2 linked regions of the Drosophila melanogaster genome follow. The protein of the gene in region 1 interacts with the protein of each later gene in a pairwise test. Each region holds a gene or a part of one and is shown in the gene's direction. Other genes may lie near its edges.

Evidence for each region. Proteins that work in one complex are often made in the same cells at the same time.
Region 2: the proteins of CG8065 (region 1) and vir-1 interact in a two-hybrid assay, tested with the Drosophila melanogaster proteins (one large-scale study listed by BioGRID).

The regions. Positions count from the first base shown.
Region 1 is NT_037436.4:10,209,776-10,217,672, forward strand, and holds CG8065 (uncharacterized protein), read left to right. Parts: upstream 1-5,889; 5' UTR 5,890-5,936; coding exon 5,937-6,524; intron 6,525-6,584; coding exon 6,585-6,899; 3' UTR 6,900-7,205; downstream 7,206-7,897.
Region 2 is NT_033779.5:12,417,869-12,426,968, reverse strand, and holds the start of vir-1 (virus-induced RNA 1), read left to right. Parts: upstream 1-3,529; 5' UTR 3,530-3,646; intron 3,647-5,106; exon of another isoform or gene 5,107-5,139; 5' UTR 5,140-5,264; coding exon 5,265-5,328; intron 5,329-9,100. Other genes in the region: Fam92, read right to left, coding at 633-908, 960-1,430, 1,486-1,626, 1,681-1,840, 1,892-2,031.

The DNA.
Region 1 (7,897 bases):
CTTTGAGGATTTGTTTGCTGGCCTGTCCTGACTGCGAGTCCCGGCTGGTCCTTTCTGTTTCCCGTCTTGTGGTCTGCTGCTCGCAAAGGAAACCCAAATTCCGGACGCAAATTCGATTTTCGTCGCATTTTTTTGTTGGTTCCAATTCAATTTTCCCGGCGTTTAAGCACAGTAAACAATAATTAGATGTGCCCACTGTACTGTGCGGTACTACATATAGTTACGTACATATATACGTTTATATGCATGTCTGGTAATGGAGATCGCCCTTTAGTCCGCATAGTCCCTTAGCAAATGCAGCCTGTTTTGCGGTGGAGCCTGCGGTTTTAGCCCGACCGCATCTTTAACGATGAGATTTTGGTTAGGGCACTTCGATTTGTGCAAAGTGCAGAATCAGTAAAATTAAATTGGATTTCCATTGTGACGAACTGGACAGCAGGCTAGAGAAATTTGCGGTCACTCGGCTGGTATATCTTTCACAATCGGGGGCGGGGAAGACCCTGGACCTTGGCATCTTCGACTTTTCCATTTTCCCCGCTCGCTAAACTCAGACTCGCCATCAACTTTGCTGCTGCCGGCCAGTTAAACTAATGTTTTTTTAAACGCTGCCATTGACGGTTGCTCGTGGCTACTCATACTTATATATACATATATATAGTTATATATATACATTTGTATCGGGACAGTGGGAAAGTAGGGAACCGGAACAATGGGAACATCGATGGGAATTTGCGGTCGGAACTCTGCGGGATATCACAATGGCTGAATGGATTTATGCACAATGGTTTATGAAAGATAGTAATTGTTAAATAGAAAAATTGTTGCAACTTCGCGGTGAATTTTAGAAAAACGTATTTAATATTAATGTATTTAAAATGTAATCATTGTTGATTGCTAATAACATATATAAAAAGCTTCATAAAATACAAATTTCATTTGTTCTATCCATTGAAGTACTTAATTTCCGCCGATAAGTAATTGTTAAGCATTCATCTCTGGAAAAAGCCCGAAGCTCTTATTTCCATCGCCCTTTGAGAACTTGAGTGTGTCATCCGTTTTGCGAGGAGCCATTCTTTAATGATTATTTCTGCAGCCCCATTTCACTTATCGATAATCGCCCTATTGTGCCCGATAGGCAGCGACTCCTTGTGGAATTGAGCAATTGCATGGAAACGCAATTATTCGGTGTATTCACTTTGAGAATTTCCCGCGCCTCGCATGTCTGGCTACCAATCGTCCAATCGCCCAATCCCAATCATAATTATTATTGATCGCATTTCAATTTATTGATACGGTTCCATTTTTATTTTTTTATTTCGCTAGCGTCCAAGCTGGCAGCATTGTCAACGCATCGCGTTTGTATTGTTGATGATTTTTCAAATGCGCTTAATGACATCGGAACGGATTCTCCTGCTTCAGTTCGCTTTTACCCACTTTGAACCTCCCTTTTCCGCTCCTTTTTCCCCATCTACCTCATATACGAGTAATTTATCCAAGAGCACTTAAAAAAATTGTAAGTTCATTTGAAAAATAAAATAATGAGTGTACTATACTGAATATGCAATGAAATTTGCTCTTACAGCTTCAAGCTATTTATTATAAAAAAATATGCATTTTTTGTAACTTTGTTCAAAGGTAGATAAAATCGCATAGTATTTATATTATAGGCGTATTCCTCTGTGCTACTTATTTGACTATTAAACGGTTGGGTTGACTGAAGCTCCTCTTAATGCATATGAAATGGTAATTACGCATACGCCGCGTTGTACCAGAGGAAGTCGAAAAGTCAGCCGGGAATGAAATCGAAGTGCCAGCGCCACTTATTGACGCTCATTTATCTTATTAATAGCTCCAAGCCGGTGGCACAATCACAATTTATCAAGCGGCTAAAAAACTCGAATTTACTTAGCTTTGTATTGCCAAGCTGCTTTTGTCATTTCTATAATCGACTTGAAGTCAATGCCTTCGACTTGCCCCAAAGTCCTCAGAGTCCTGGAGAAGCATCTAGTTTTGACAGTTGCCTTGGTCTAGACAATGTAATTGTCGACAGCAGCAAATCGAGTGTCGATTCTGGGGAGTGGGATTTCTGGACCCACTAATAGCCATTGTGGCGGTAAATCAACGGGGTCCGTATAAATCACTAAGACCATGGATCCCCGACTCATATGTTGCGGCTTTTAAATCACAAGGTGTCAGGCTGAAAAAATACCCCTCAGTCTATTTTTGATGAGGGTAAAAGTAAAAGTGGAACTACAATATATCGAAACGGAATGAAAGGGGGAATCGGAATGTTGAACTAACCAGGACACAGGTCGCCGGCTCGTTTATTTATTTATTTCAAGTGTCCGACCATTCGGCCGACCACTTGTCACCGCCAACAGTCGCAACTTGATTTATAAACATTTACATATCACAGGACTCGTCCATTTCTAAAGCCCCCCCCCCATGTAAGTCCTTTTTCCTTTGCTTTATTGTTGCCCAATTAGGAGCAGCCATAAATTCAGGCTGTATTCAGCGGGGCAATAGAAGGGAAAAGGAATTGTACAGGAGCTGCAGTGCCGTTAATTAAAAAGTTTCTTAACAAGTTAATTGAAATAGATCTCGATTGGAGTTTTTATTGATATTTGGCTGACGTTTGGCATTTGCCGCTGCCAAACGGAACGAAGCGAAACTAAATAATTAGTTTGCTGGCCTCTTTTGGGTAAAACTTTCAGTGCCACTTAAAGCTCGAAGTTGGACGAAGTGGAGCGGCGTTTTGGCCAAGGAGCCAAACTGTTTGCCAACAACTCGAGCACGAGCCACTCACTCGTCGGGGCAAAAACTTAACACATTATGAGTCCTCGGCTTTGACTTTCTATACCCCTCTATACCATTTCTCCCAATTCCAACCGCCCCTTTAAAAAGGAAAACAAAAAGCAAACCAATGCATTTGACATTTACGCCGGAGCAACAGCTGCTACATAAATTAAAAAATGTAGCAACCAGGCCCAAAGCCAATACAAATAAAAGAGCAATAACAGCCGTGACAGGAGCCACTTGTATTGAGGGGACCCCTGACCACCCATTTCATCCAATCCACCGCCACCTCGAGCTCCCGGGAGCCGGGCATAAATAATATGTACAAAAGAAAGTTTTTGTCAAAGCGCCCCAAGTGCTACTTGGAGCTCACCCTTTTCCAGATAAGTCTGCGAACGCGATTGGGGCATCCACTCAGGAAATCAATAATGATTGAGCCTAGCCATCGGCTGAAAAAATGGATGCAGTCGATCTGCCTCATCGCTGACTATTTGGTGCCCTTTCATTTTAGGAATATTTAAATAAATACAATACAAACTTTATGTCTAAGCAATTTGTTAATTTCGTTTGGAATACAAAGGTGTGAAGAAGTTCTAAAAATCTCAAATTAATCTTATGATCTGGTATGAAATATTATTTAATGTAGATTTCTAAATGCGCATCAGTAGTAATATTACTAGTGATTTTTTCGTTGTAAGAAAACTACCTTAGCATTCCAAATTTTACATATTTTCTGCTTTAATAGATTCTTGTAACCTTGTCGTACTTCCTTTGGAATCTGTTTTACAATTTCCAGGTTATAGAAACACCGATTTTTTACCTAAAAGAAAACTGTCACATTGGCATTCCCGAAAAGTGGATTCCATCGCACTGAGCCTGTCACCCGACGAGGCGTAGATGAAATGACAACCTGGGCGGACAATATGTCCAGGAGTCATTAAAAAGTTGCCACAATCCCCGCGGTGAGGGTAAAATTAAGCGAGCCATTTGAATGGCAGCCATGGCGACAACGTCGAGAGCATAAGACTTGGACGGTCATCAAAGTAAAGTGTTTTCCAACTTTTCTTTCCTCCGATTTTTCTCTGGGTATAGCTACTGCTGGTTTTCCCTGAATTTCCCTTTTCTTTTTTGTATTGTTCTGAAACTTTGAGCAGCTGCTCCTGCGGCGCTTGTTATTGTTGTTATTTACTATTAAAGTTGGCAGGATCGTAAACAGCTTGCGGCCAAAAAGGGGAATTGCGGATTTGTGTAGTTACCCCTTTGAAACGACCCTGGTGATTGGTGATTGGTGATTGGCAATTGGCTATTGGCTTTGCCATCTGCAGTTTCGCAATTTCCGGCTTAATGTGGTATTAGTTTTATTACCAATTAAAGTTATTCAATTGCCGCGCAAAAGTTAAAAGGCTGCACTAATTTCATTTCCACCAGAAAACCCCACAAGCCCAGTAAATACGCAATGGACGGACATATCTATTTTATGCTGCCGTTTATTGTTTGGCCCAGAGATACCAAATACGACAACAACTGCTGCTGGTTTTGGGCTTTGCATGTTTAATTCATCTAATCAACATTAAGCCATGTTTTGGCAGAGAATGTGGTAGGCATTGTGCCCGCCCACCACCAGTGTCCCCTCTATTCCATTGTATTCGTGGTTCAACCGCTGTTCGTCGCCCCAAAAAGGATACAAAATTCAGTTGCAGATACATCTGTGTTGTTGCTGCTGCCGCTGTCACATTTACATAATTTCATTTGCAACACATTCTGGGCATTTCGGCACCCCCCCTCCCCCTTTCCGACCCGCGACTCATGTTTTCGGCTGGCGGCAAATTATTACACGCTTTTATTAACAAAAATTATGCTCGACTGTTGATTTGCAGCGTCATCGGAGTGGTCGTAGTTCTCTTTCCTTGTTGGCCCCTGAGTACGCATGAATATTCATCACTTAATATATGGGGTCCTATAAATAGATGCATTCTGGCAGCAGGATGCTGTAGGCAGTCACAGGATCAAGGAGCAACGGCCGCAGGCTCTTTTATTAATTAAGTTCCGATTTTTTCCTCCTTTTTTGCTTCGGTTGCAAGAGCAAAGTACGCAGTCGATGGACAGTGGCGCGAAAAAATATGAATTAAGGGGTTCATAATTAGATTCATTAATATGGATTTTGGTTTCATCAATGCTTGCAATTTAATTGACTTTATTTTAATTGATTTGGTAATCAAATAAGTAAAATACAGTTATACACTAGCTAAAGTAAATATGTTAATATTTAGATCTCATTTTAGATGACTATTATTTACAAATGATTTATCTAGCTAACATATTTAAATCCATATTATTATGAAATTGAGGGTTTAATAACATCTGGTTAATAAAATCCAACCCCCCTTTCTGATTTTGCCCCTGATCAAAAAGCAGAATACCAATGATGACGACGGCGATGACAGCGATACACGAGCCACTCAATCTTGTTGAGTAAGCGCCACTAATTTGTTTTTAAGGTCAGCATGGTCACTCCACCCACATTTCCGCCCACATTTACCCTCACCTGCCGCTACCACTTTGCATACTTTATTGACCGCATGGAGAGAATTTGTGTGTGTGTGTGTGTGTGTGCCTGGAGTCTTACCACAAATACGCTTTTAAGAGGCATTTCCAGGACGAAGGCAGCTGAGACCCACTGCAGCATCAGCTTCTTGCAATTTGGCTATTAAAAATCATTAGCAGCAGGGAATTTCAGCCCCTTTTGGCCAAATTTCAGGTGTGTGCCCTTTTCCGAAGTAGAAGAATCTCTACTGCATGCAACATTGTGCGAGCTACATACTTTGTGGCACTCTGGCCAGGCATTTTCATTAAAACGCTGAAGGCATAAATACCAAAACTGGAAACAATGATCTTAACATCCTGGTAATAAGTAATTTTATTAGGTAAATAAATTAAGAATTTAAAGAACCGTTAAAACGTAAAACTTTATGGAAGGTATTCTTTACTTTCTTAGTTTCATTCATATGCAACACACAAAGTTTATTGAATAAAAAAAATTCAAAAGTAATATAGCATATTTTTATCAGAGCACTCCATGACTTAGTACACATTCACACTACACAGAACATATATTAGTAAGCTAAAAAAAAATTAAAAATATGGACTGCAAGGCTCCTGGACTGCTAGAAACTCCTAGTGAATCTGAACTGACCCACTGCAGCATCTCCGCTCTAGATAACATACCAATTCAAGAAGAGGAGTGTCCATCGGAGTTGGAACTTTCAAAGACTTTCGATAAGCTGGAAAGGATGAGAGAACGTGTGCTATATTTGAAGAGCCTCCTAATTCATCCAGTACAAGTAAACAAAGTCGAATGTCCTCCAGAAAGTGACCAGATGAGACTGGACATCGAGCAGTCTAGCTCGGACAACGACGAACTGAGAGTAGTACAACAGGACACAGTACGAGCTTTACAGCAGATCATCGACGTAAATCGCCAACTCAAGGAGACAACTGACTCTCTGACTGGACTGGACGAAAAGGCACGGAAAAACATCCGATGCATCAGAAAGTTGTCCAAGAGGCTGCTCGAAGTGCCCAAGTGGAAGGAGGAACTGAAGCACAACACGGGATTGTGTTTGGAGCGATATAATGACCTGGACATTTCCCGAGGAAACTACCTCGACTACAGTGACAACTTCGTCCGACCCATCCAAACCAACATGAAGTTCTGTTTCGCATCAAAGGTATTGGCAACTCTCTAAGCATACTATTTATAAATACTAATTCTATCATCCAACCTCAAGGCCCCTCTTATATGCAATAAGCAGGATTATAATGACTTGGTAAGCGCTCTGAGTAAATCCCGGAAAACGCTACTGAAATGCCACGGGGAGCTATTGAAGTACACCCAGAAGGTGGACGAAGCGCTGACATTGAAGAACTTTGATACCATGGAACTTCCATCTATATCGGAGCTATCGTTGCTGCTGGACAAGAGCACCCAGGTGACCAAGCGCAGGAGCTCAATTGAAAAGGAGCGAAGATCCTTCAAGTTCGCCTGGGCTGCTCCTTTGGCGAAGCAGGAAAAATACACCCCCGCTGTCGATATTTCCGATTGAGATAATTAAAAATGCAGTCAACCACAAAAACGCCAATATTGTAATTTAAACGGGCATCCTAGTTTCGCATTTTACGGGTGCAAAAATGCGCATAATGAATACGCACACGGACATGCGGCATAAAACACACAATGATCGGGCTAATTGTGCAAAAATGTTTTTGCAAATATTTTGTTAACAAATTTTGCGGCATTTTAAGCCACAGAAATGCAATTAGCCGTGAACGTAATTAACCGACAAAATTTTAGTGTGCAGTGGCCACTTCAACTGAAATGCAAAAATAAAAATGGGAAAACCACCAAATGCATGGGCACCAAATTTGAATTAGAATTTGAATTCATTTTACGAGAGTATTGAGCTGTCGAAAGGGGTTCCGATCTGATGAAATTGATGGCCAGAATGTCTTTGACACCTTAGCGGAGCTTCATTTTTCGTTTGACAAGGGTTCAGAACTCGGTAGACCTGGGAATTTCCCCAAAGAACGGGAGCAACAAGTTTGTCATGAACGAAACTCCTTCCGGGCCGAAAATTTCAGCCATCAAATTGGGCAAACAACAGCCCGAGCAAAGTTTGTGGCCAAATTAATTGAACGGACCGTGTCCACAGGACTCGCAAGGAAATGCTTTCCGCACGAAAGTCTTCTGCCCATGGAGCCCTTACCTTTCACCTTTGACATGACACTTAATTCATCGAGCGAATGTGAAGCCGAAAATTTAATTTAATTAGTGGCCTCCCCAAGTGTTGAAGGTGCTTGGAGGCCTCGTTGGAGTAAAACTTTTATGGCAGCTGTTGAGCAAGGATACGCCGTGTTACGCCCTTTATTCCCGATATTGCGCATTGGCTGCACATGTCCTGGTTGCCAACTTCTCGGGTCCATTGTTCTTTTGTTGCCCGTTTGAATACCTGGAATACTTGTGCGCCACTTGCTCAAACCTCTGACCCTGCAGCCTTCTCATATAGTTGGGCTCATAGTCAAATGAACGCAGTTAGGGAGTTCG
Region 2 (9,100 bases), on another chromosome or scaffold:
GAGCAATGGCCAATAATTTTGAATTATTGCCGTTTAGTTTCTATTTATAAATTAAAAATTCAAGAATTGTAAATTCCCTGCTATTTGGGTGTTCAGGACTTCGATTTAACAACGGTTACCAGGCGACCAGTTCCCGATTTGTGTTTCCTCACCTGAAAGTTTATTGCGAAAAGGGGAAGAGAAGCGCGTCATTTCCGCTTGATTAGTTATGATATGCATATATTTAGTATTGTTTATCTGGGACAAATAATGCAAATCGTGACCCGTGTCCATTAATAAAAAGTGTATGGAAATCAGCGCTGAATGGCAAGGAGTGCTATATAACAATCCCTACTTTTAAAAGGAAAATCAACATTGATTTGTGGACCAGAATGATTTTCGAATATTAATTGCAATTTGTGTTGCTTCTACATATCATGTTTTTTAAGGCAATGAGATAGAGAGTGGTAATACATTCTGATTAAATTATGAAAGGAAGCTCTGAGACTGCGGGGTTACAAAAACCAATTAAGATAAACCCTTAGAAGTATGTTCCTAATTCAATTTTATTTAAGCTCTTGCTACGATTCCAGAATGTGCCTGCAATACTGATGTGAGCTCTAGGAACTCTACTACTGGTCATAATTTGAGTGCTAGTGCTGGGGCACGTGGAACTGCTTCTGCAGCCTTACATGGGTGGAGGCCACCGCCTTGAATGGATGTTTGACCGTTTGTCTGCTGGGCTTCGAAGGAGCAGAAGTGGCACTGGCACTGGTCGATGGCGTGGCTATATCCTTGCTGGCAGATCGGATCTTGGCCCCAAAAACATTCTCCCGCGGAGGAACCTGGTTGCCCGGCTGCGTGGGTTCCCTCTCGTCATCCGTTGCCGTTCCAGATTCCTCGTCCTCTTCGCCACTTTGCTCGGTTTCCTTGGGAGGAATGGAGTTATTCTATCATTCCATAATCATGCCAAATCATACCTCATCTTCATCATCTTCCTCTTCATCCTGCTCGTCGGTTTCATCTTCGGGTTCTGTTTTACTTCCATGATTGATTCCGGCTCCCGTCAGATTCCTATTGCTCCTGGACAACTTCGGGCGCCTCTTGAGCGGACTGACCAGGTGCTCGTGCTCCAAGCTATCCATCGACTGGGAGCGCAGTCCCTTTTTGAGTGCAGTTTTCCTGGAAGCCAGCTCTTCTTTGGTCTTCATGAGTTTCTGAAACTCAATGAAATCGTCGCGCTCATCAATGGTTCCAATATCATAGTAGCTTGCGCTGAGTATCTCCAATGCCTTGGTGTGCTGTTTCATGGCGATCAGTATAAAATCGCTGATTATCTGCTTTAAGTCGCGCAACTTCCGCTGCTCGAAGTTGCCAATAATGTCGTCTATCTCCTTGTTTGTGCGCTGCACCTCCATTTTGGCCTTAAACAGCTCCGAATCGGCGGCACTCTACGGTAAGTTTTGGGAATTATATAAGAAGTAAATTGTTCGTTTTAATACCCACATTGTTCGCAGAAAACTTTGACTTGAGCTCAAGCATCTGGCGCTGACGTAGTACCTCCTTATCCCGCGCTATGACAGCCAGTCGAAGATTGTCCCTTGTGGACTTGCAAAGCTGCTCGAATTGCGCCAACTCGTTGACAATCTACATAAGTCAATAATATGATATAAGATGCAGATTTAAAAAAGGATAATTCACCTTGTGTTCCAATCGGTGTACATTGATGTCCATGTAATCACCCATTATGGTAACCGCGTTGGTGAAGCTCTTCAGTCCCTGACAGAGACTCTCGTTGATTTCCTCGTCGTCGGCGTAGCTCTTCACACTCTTGGCCAACTCATCAAAGGAGTCCCGATATCTGCAAGGTCTTATGATTATTCATTCAGATTTATTTATTTACCAAACTCACTTGGCCATTTTCCGCGTTACCAAAGCAAACGAAGAGCACATCTCCATTAGATGCCTTTCTGTTATGTTTATGCGCTCGTTTATTATTTTAACACGGTCATCTTTGGTGTTTAGAAAGGATAGTTTTCCACGACGAAACATTATTATTTTATTTTAGTCCCTTATATTTGTTTTCCTTCTTTATTTATTTTATTTCGACAATAAAATCAAGTGAAAACCGTTACCAAGGCAACGTCTAAATTCATCTGGCAACTCTCGTTCGAACAGCCAGCATATTTCCAGCTCTGTAAAATTAACAGAAATGTTAAGAACCTACTGCTGCCAGGTGGCGCTAGTATCAGCGTCTTCTGCAAGTACATAGATGGCGCAAGAATAAAGTTTATCAAGGAAATTTAAAACATTCTAAAAATATTCAATCCTAAAATAAATATCTGAATATGGGTACTTCATTTTTTTCCAACAGTGTCAAGGTCAAGAGCACGTTTCGTTATAATCTGTGAGTGTTTCTGTCTGTCATCCGGTGTCTAAATTTAAATTCGAAAGATTTATGACTAATTAAGAGACTGCAAATGATAAAGAAAAATATATATAATTAGTATATATAAAAAAATAGAAAATATACTACGATATTTACCTGAAGATCATAGCATTGTAAATAGTTTATTTAAAAACAAGTCAATCTGATATTTTAAAATATCGTTGGTCCTAAAAGCCAAGCTTTACTCACTTAAATATATGTAGGACTAAGCTGACTCAAATTCTTCTCACTTCGAAGCCTTGACAACCAAATCTTGTTTTTTGGGGAATTTATTGACTCGACCGCAAGAATGTTGTGTCAACGATTAACCGAAAATGGTAATTTATTTTAAATGCTCCTCTGCCACTTAAAGGCATAGTGCAATCAAACCTGTATTTAGTAAAACGAAAATAGCAGTTCGAATAAAACCAACGAAAGTGTAGTTAAAACAGAATCCGGTTCGTGGGACCACGACAAGAATTACAAGTTGTAGAGCATGAAGAGCAGCCTGCAGGAGATTTTAACAGCTGTAGCTGCGCCGATCGCGATTTCAATCTGGTCGAAAACCATAAAGCAACACGGCTCCCAAGAGGCAAGTTCAGGTAAAAGGGGGCAGGTGGACTTCATTGTCAATCCAAGAACGTAGCTTGGCGCGCGTTCCTTGTCGCTAACTATATCCCCGCCTCTTTCTCGGCGCTGTCGGCCATCCGCTTTGAATTTCTGATTTTTATACATACACCTCGAACTCCAACGGTTTTGGTCAAGGGACTGCACTGGAGGACATTCGCGTTCCGCTGGCGACATTCATTTTTGCTCCCACTGACGTGTCAATGAATATTCTTTTTGTAAAATTTCTGCTACTTTTTGGGTAAACAGGATGGGGCATCTTTGGTAGTGGATCTGTTGTAAAAATATAAAATTGAAAGTTCTTTAGTTATTTTTCTTTTTTTTTTTTAATTAAAACATTGTTGAATGCACATTTGGAGCACTCGGAAGACCCTTCTTCGCTCTCGTATTCTTCTCTGCGCATTCCTCCCTTTCCCGGTCTCTCTTCTCAATTCTTTGTTTTTTTTTGAGTGCCAACGACGTGAGCTGGTATAAATGAAGCCAAAATCGTACGCAACCGTTTAGTCCGAAACGTTTCATTAAAGCCAACGCACGTTGAAGATCGCGCGTTCTTCTCCGATCTTTCGAAATCGAGTGATTCAAGCGATCCACAGAAATAACTGTATGACACCGGTAACAATAATAAAATTTATGCAAATTCGCGGTTGTCGGCATGTGTATGTGAATGAAATTGTGTGCGTGAACAATTTCCGCTTCGGCGCTGACAAAAATGTTTACAAACAAACAATTTGCAGCTTGTTTAGGCTGTCTGGGCAATAATTTGGATGCCTAATTTACTTCACGCAGCTGTTTGCGAAATATTTACTTGTGCTCACTTTTATGCTGAGCCCAACATAAACAATAGCTTTCTAAAACTATCAGACATTAAAAATGCTATTTAAAGTTTATAGTTGCTAATTTTGAAGACCTTGAAAAATTTACTGTCGGGCAAGATATTTAAATAATTTTCTGATGTGCAAAAATTCCAGTTCATTTTGAGATTATAATACATTCTAGATTTAAATCAGTGTATAATTATACAAATTCTTTACGGCTTTTTATATTTATCAGAACTGTAATTGGGTGTTATATCGTAAGTTCTCTCGGGTCAAAAAGATCATTCATAATCGGATTAACTAAAGATTTCCAATAAATTGCCGATCTTTGGCATATTCGTTAGTAAAATCGTGATTAAACCCGGCTCAATCAAGGCGTGACTACTTTATCGATGGAATTAAAAAGAAGCACTCTATCATAACCATTTAATTACTGAGAATAGTCTTTAGCTCCGTTTTCATTTCCTTGGAAGAAAATTCTCAATAGCTGCCCATTAGGGAAATAAGCAAATGATGCTTTTGTTTACAGAAACAACAACCTTGAACTAAACACCAAGCGCATTTAACAGGTGATTCGAGCAGCCGTTGAATAGACATAGTTCCATACAATGCAATCGAAGTGGAATTGAAATACGAATGGGGCGACTGAAACATTCAGCAACTGTGACAGGGACACATTTAAAGTCTGAAATACAAATATAGTGGAATAGAGAAGCCCGCGTGCAGCTAACGAAGCATAGACAAAAACTGATTAAGTAAATTGAAAACACAACTAAATTTACAAAAGGTTCAATGAGCAACGGCGACTTTCAAACACCCTTTTAATCGAAATTTTAAAATATTAGTAGCAAATGCCCTTTTAGAACTGCTTTTATATATATATAATTATAAAGATAAAGTTATATTATATTATATTTTTTATAGTAGTAGATACAATAGTTAATGAACCAGTAAGCTATAACGGAAACAAAAAGGTGTAACGAAAATAAAAGTTAACTTAAATGTGCCTAAGAACATTACTAATACGCTGCATTCTGTACACAGTGGAGTCCCCAAATATTGTACCCAGTTGACGGGCACAGTGTAGCGCTCTTCCCACAACACTTGCCGCCTGCCATTTGGAATATTTATAAGCCCAGCGGCTAATTGAGTGAGAGGGAGAGCAAGAGAGCGGTCAGCTAGTCACTCACTCGGTTTCTCACTCGCTCACTCACTCAGCCGGCCGCCGTTTATTTGCCGCTTCCTCAAATCATTTAAGCGCATTTGACGATTGTTTGTCTTTCCGCACAGAACAAAACTGAACAGAATCGAATCCGGTTGCCGGTCCACATCAACGCATCAAAGCTTTCAGCCCTAAATAAACTATACAAATTAAACAAATTATAAGCTTGTGAAAAAAAAAAAACCAAACAAAAATGAAGCTCTTGTTCGGTTTGCTGATGACCGTGCTAGCCCTTAGCGGCGTTTTCACATTGCCAGGTAAGTGAAAGGCTTAAAAGCAATCCAATCATGATGCACTTCATAAATTAACATTTAAATGATTAATACTTGAAAACTAAATGTTAACTTGCCCTAAGTAATACGTATAACGGAACTAACTAATATGCAATTTGTACACATATGCAACATACATATTTGTTTTCCTTCTCTTTACTTTCTCATTTTTATGTGCACATAATTAGTTATTAAAAAACACAGTCAACCTTTTGACTTTAAAAACAAAGAAAATTGATAAGCACCGGGAATTCTGATTTGCACTCTTCTACGTAGTACGTTCCTCTTATACCTTCTTGATCTGGAATATTCTGGTAGAATCTTAAAGATTACCTCGATGTAATTGTGACTTGGAGCAATATAAATAAATTATTATGCATATAATACGTAATTATTAGTAAATACAATCTGTTGGATATGAAAAAATGTTTTAATTCCACTCTGCAGCAGATTAAAGTTTAAAGTCGCTGCCTTTGCCGGATAATGATGTCAGCATGCTGATAACAAAGCGTGGCACTTGACAATCAGCCAAATGCATCTTACAGATACAACACAAGTAACTACAAATGGCAAAATATCAGGAATGCTCGGCGCAGCATCGCAGATCCAGCGTCCTTTATTGTCATCATCAGCGTTTGCTGTTCGCTGCCTTTGGCTGCCACTTGAATGCATAAATTGCTGAAGAAGCTGCCAGCGAATCGCAGATACCCCCACAGATGGGCGGAATGGTGGGAGTGGGCGTGGCAGCGGGTTGGCAGCTGCCACAGCCACTTGAAGTTGTCAAATTCGTTGCTGTCCAAATCATTTGCCAGGAATATACAAATTTTATGCAACACTCGTGAATCACAATTTTTCGGCAAATCTTGCTTGAGAATCATCTTAGCAATGAGTGCTTGAAATTGCAATGAAATATTTCGTAAATTGATGAGACAATGTTTTTTATTACATATTTCAAAATACACATAGTAGCTACTCTAACTACTGTGCATATAAGTCAGATTAGTACTGTTTAAACATTTGTTTTCTCTATTTAATTATTAATGATTTGCGATCTGAACATGCTGAGAATAGAATCATATCCAATTAAAATAATTTACGTAACCAATTAAATCACGATAATTGTGGATATACTGGATTTATCTGCAGGCTAATCTATTCTGGATTATATATTTCAAATTTAAATTAATATTGTTACATTCTTCAACAAACTCGGAATCGGTTGAATGAACTGTCATATTATACACTCAAGTCATCCCAATTTCTCTGGCTGATTGCAAGTGAAATTCTTGAGCACTTTTCTTCGCTTGTTTTGTTTTCTTATTTTTCTTAATTTGGTTTTTTATGAGATCGCTTCATGTCAGTGTCCCATGGCCAAAAGAATTGGGTTAATTGTGGCCATAATTCGCTTTTAAGAACTTTTTCCAGGGAATGTCTTTCTCTGCCCCAGAACAAATTGCAATTGCATGTTCACATAAATCACTTTTTTTTTTCCTTTTTCGAATTTCTGCTGCTCGTACGTGGAACTATGTGTGGAGTAATAAAACTCAAAACAATTATGAAAATTATTGGTGAATTATTACATGTATTTTTCATTGTTGGCATTTGCCGCTGAATAGACGGGCAATTTGTTTAATTTAGACGGATATTTTGTTATGCAAATTGAAGTTAATTTTCGAGCCCATACAAATGTTTTGGTTAAATTGTATGATATATAGTGAGATAATTAACATTTTGTGTCTGGCCTAAATCAGTTGCAATTGTTATGAAGTGGAAATACTCACAGTTTTTTTATGGGGCAATAAGCTGGTTATGAAAAATTGGTGGTCATTTAATTGAAGATTAATTCAAGTCTTATTTCTGAATATGTAAGAACACTATCTAATTGACAATTCAATTAAAACTAAACTAAACGTTGATAACACAGATACATTTAAAGTTTTATCTGTTCTTCCTAGAAATCTAAGCCGACTGCTTAATTTGCGAATTTAACAGCCAAGTCAGAAAATGCATATTAAATTAAAGCATTGAAAACAAAGCCAATTGAATGAACAAATCATTTAAGTAGAAAACACTTTTGCGAACTAAATAAAATGCGTACATTTTGGGGTTTTAATTTAAAGTGACTTAACCTATTGCCTTGGAATTTTGGACTTTTGCGGTAAAAGAAAACAAATAAATTGAACTTTGTTCATATGAATTGTAAATTGAATTGAAAACAACAACGCCGACTGGCTACATATAAATTAAAATAAAATGTTTCCTCATTTTTTTGTTTTGTTTTTGGAATTTGAGCTGGCAAATGTAATTCGTTTATTGTGCCAAGGAGTTTTATTATTGGCCTTGTCACTTTGGCTTTACATTAATTCGTAGAAAATGAAATCAACAGCTTGGCACTTTTTGTTGGGTTTTTAGGTTTTACCGCAACGTCTATTGGCTTGTGTTAAATTAAACAATTAAATTAAATTCAAAGGAAGTGATAACTTTAGTTGGCTCTATATGAATTTCAAAAGATGCTGCAATTTTAAGAGGCAGTGAAACTTGTTATTTTTTTTAGCGCAACAAGTGTTTAGTTTGCAGTCCAATGATTAATCACTTTCAATTGAAACCCATACAATTTTAGACGAAAACTTTATCGTTGTATCGTGATTGCTATTTTTAATGGGTGAAAAAGTACACGAGAATGTGTTTGTTTTCCTGGCTTTGGTAATTGTAAGCCAGCTGAACGAAATGAAATTCGCGTTCGAAAATGAGGCGAATATTTACAAAGTTTAAAGCGGCTTATGAATAATACTTTATATTCCAAACTAGCCAGGTAGCGTACATTAAAAATGCATTATATTCATTTGAATCTGCGCATTTCTCATCTCAACAAGTGTATAGAAACTAGAAGCTTACGGCAAACATGAGTCATCATTGGGCAGTTGTAAAAACAAACGAATAGTTTAATTAAGCATTTTTTTGTTGCTGCTTTGTAAGTATTTGCCTAATCAACAATGAAATGCCAACAACACGACCGTGAGACAATAGATCAGCCGACTGGCCAGAGACTCTGGACTCTCAATGGATCGCCGGCTAAATTGCAATTGTCAGATGTCACGAAGGGATTAAGTGCAGCCCCCCCCCCCCTACCCCTTTCGTCCGCGTCCCTGTCCAATTAGACGGTGACTCGAACTCTCGTCGTCTGTGATTGAGAACTACTGCAACGGCAGACTAGAAACCATCAGAATCAGCCACTTTGGCTCTGGTTCAATGTCACGTAATCGCCGCAGGGCCTCCCTGGAGGGTTATAACCCCCCCCCCCACTAACCCACTCTGCCACGCCCCCAGGCCCCTTTCACCTCGCAGTTTGCCGCCTCTTTATGTTAATTTATGTGCTGGCAAAATGTGCAAGCGCCTCTAATGCTCAGCCACGCATGGCGCAAACCCGAAATCAGAAATAAATTACAGAAGGCAGTCGCCGGAGAAGCAGAGGCAGTTGCTCATAGTCAGCACAAACTGGGGGGAATTAACACGGAGCAATCGCACCAAGAAGGTTATGCGGAGCGGAGTGTCAGTAATCTTGAAATCAATTCAAAATCTAATTAGCTGCATTCGGTTTTATCAATAAAAGATCTTAAGATCACTTATCACGCTTGAAGGTATAAGTTTTCCTAATTATAAAGGAGATCCTGAAATCTACGAATTCACGAGTTAGGAGCAATCGCACCAAGAAGGTTATGCGGAGCGGAGTGTCAGTAATCTTGAAATCAATTCAAAA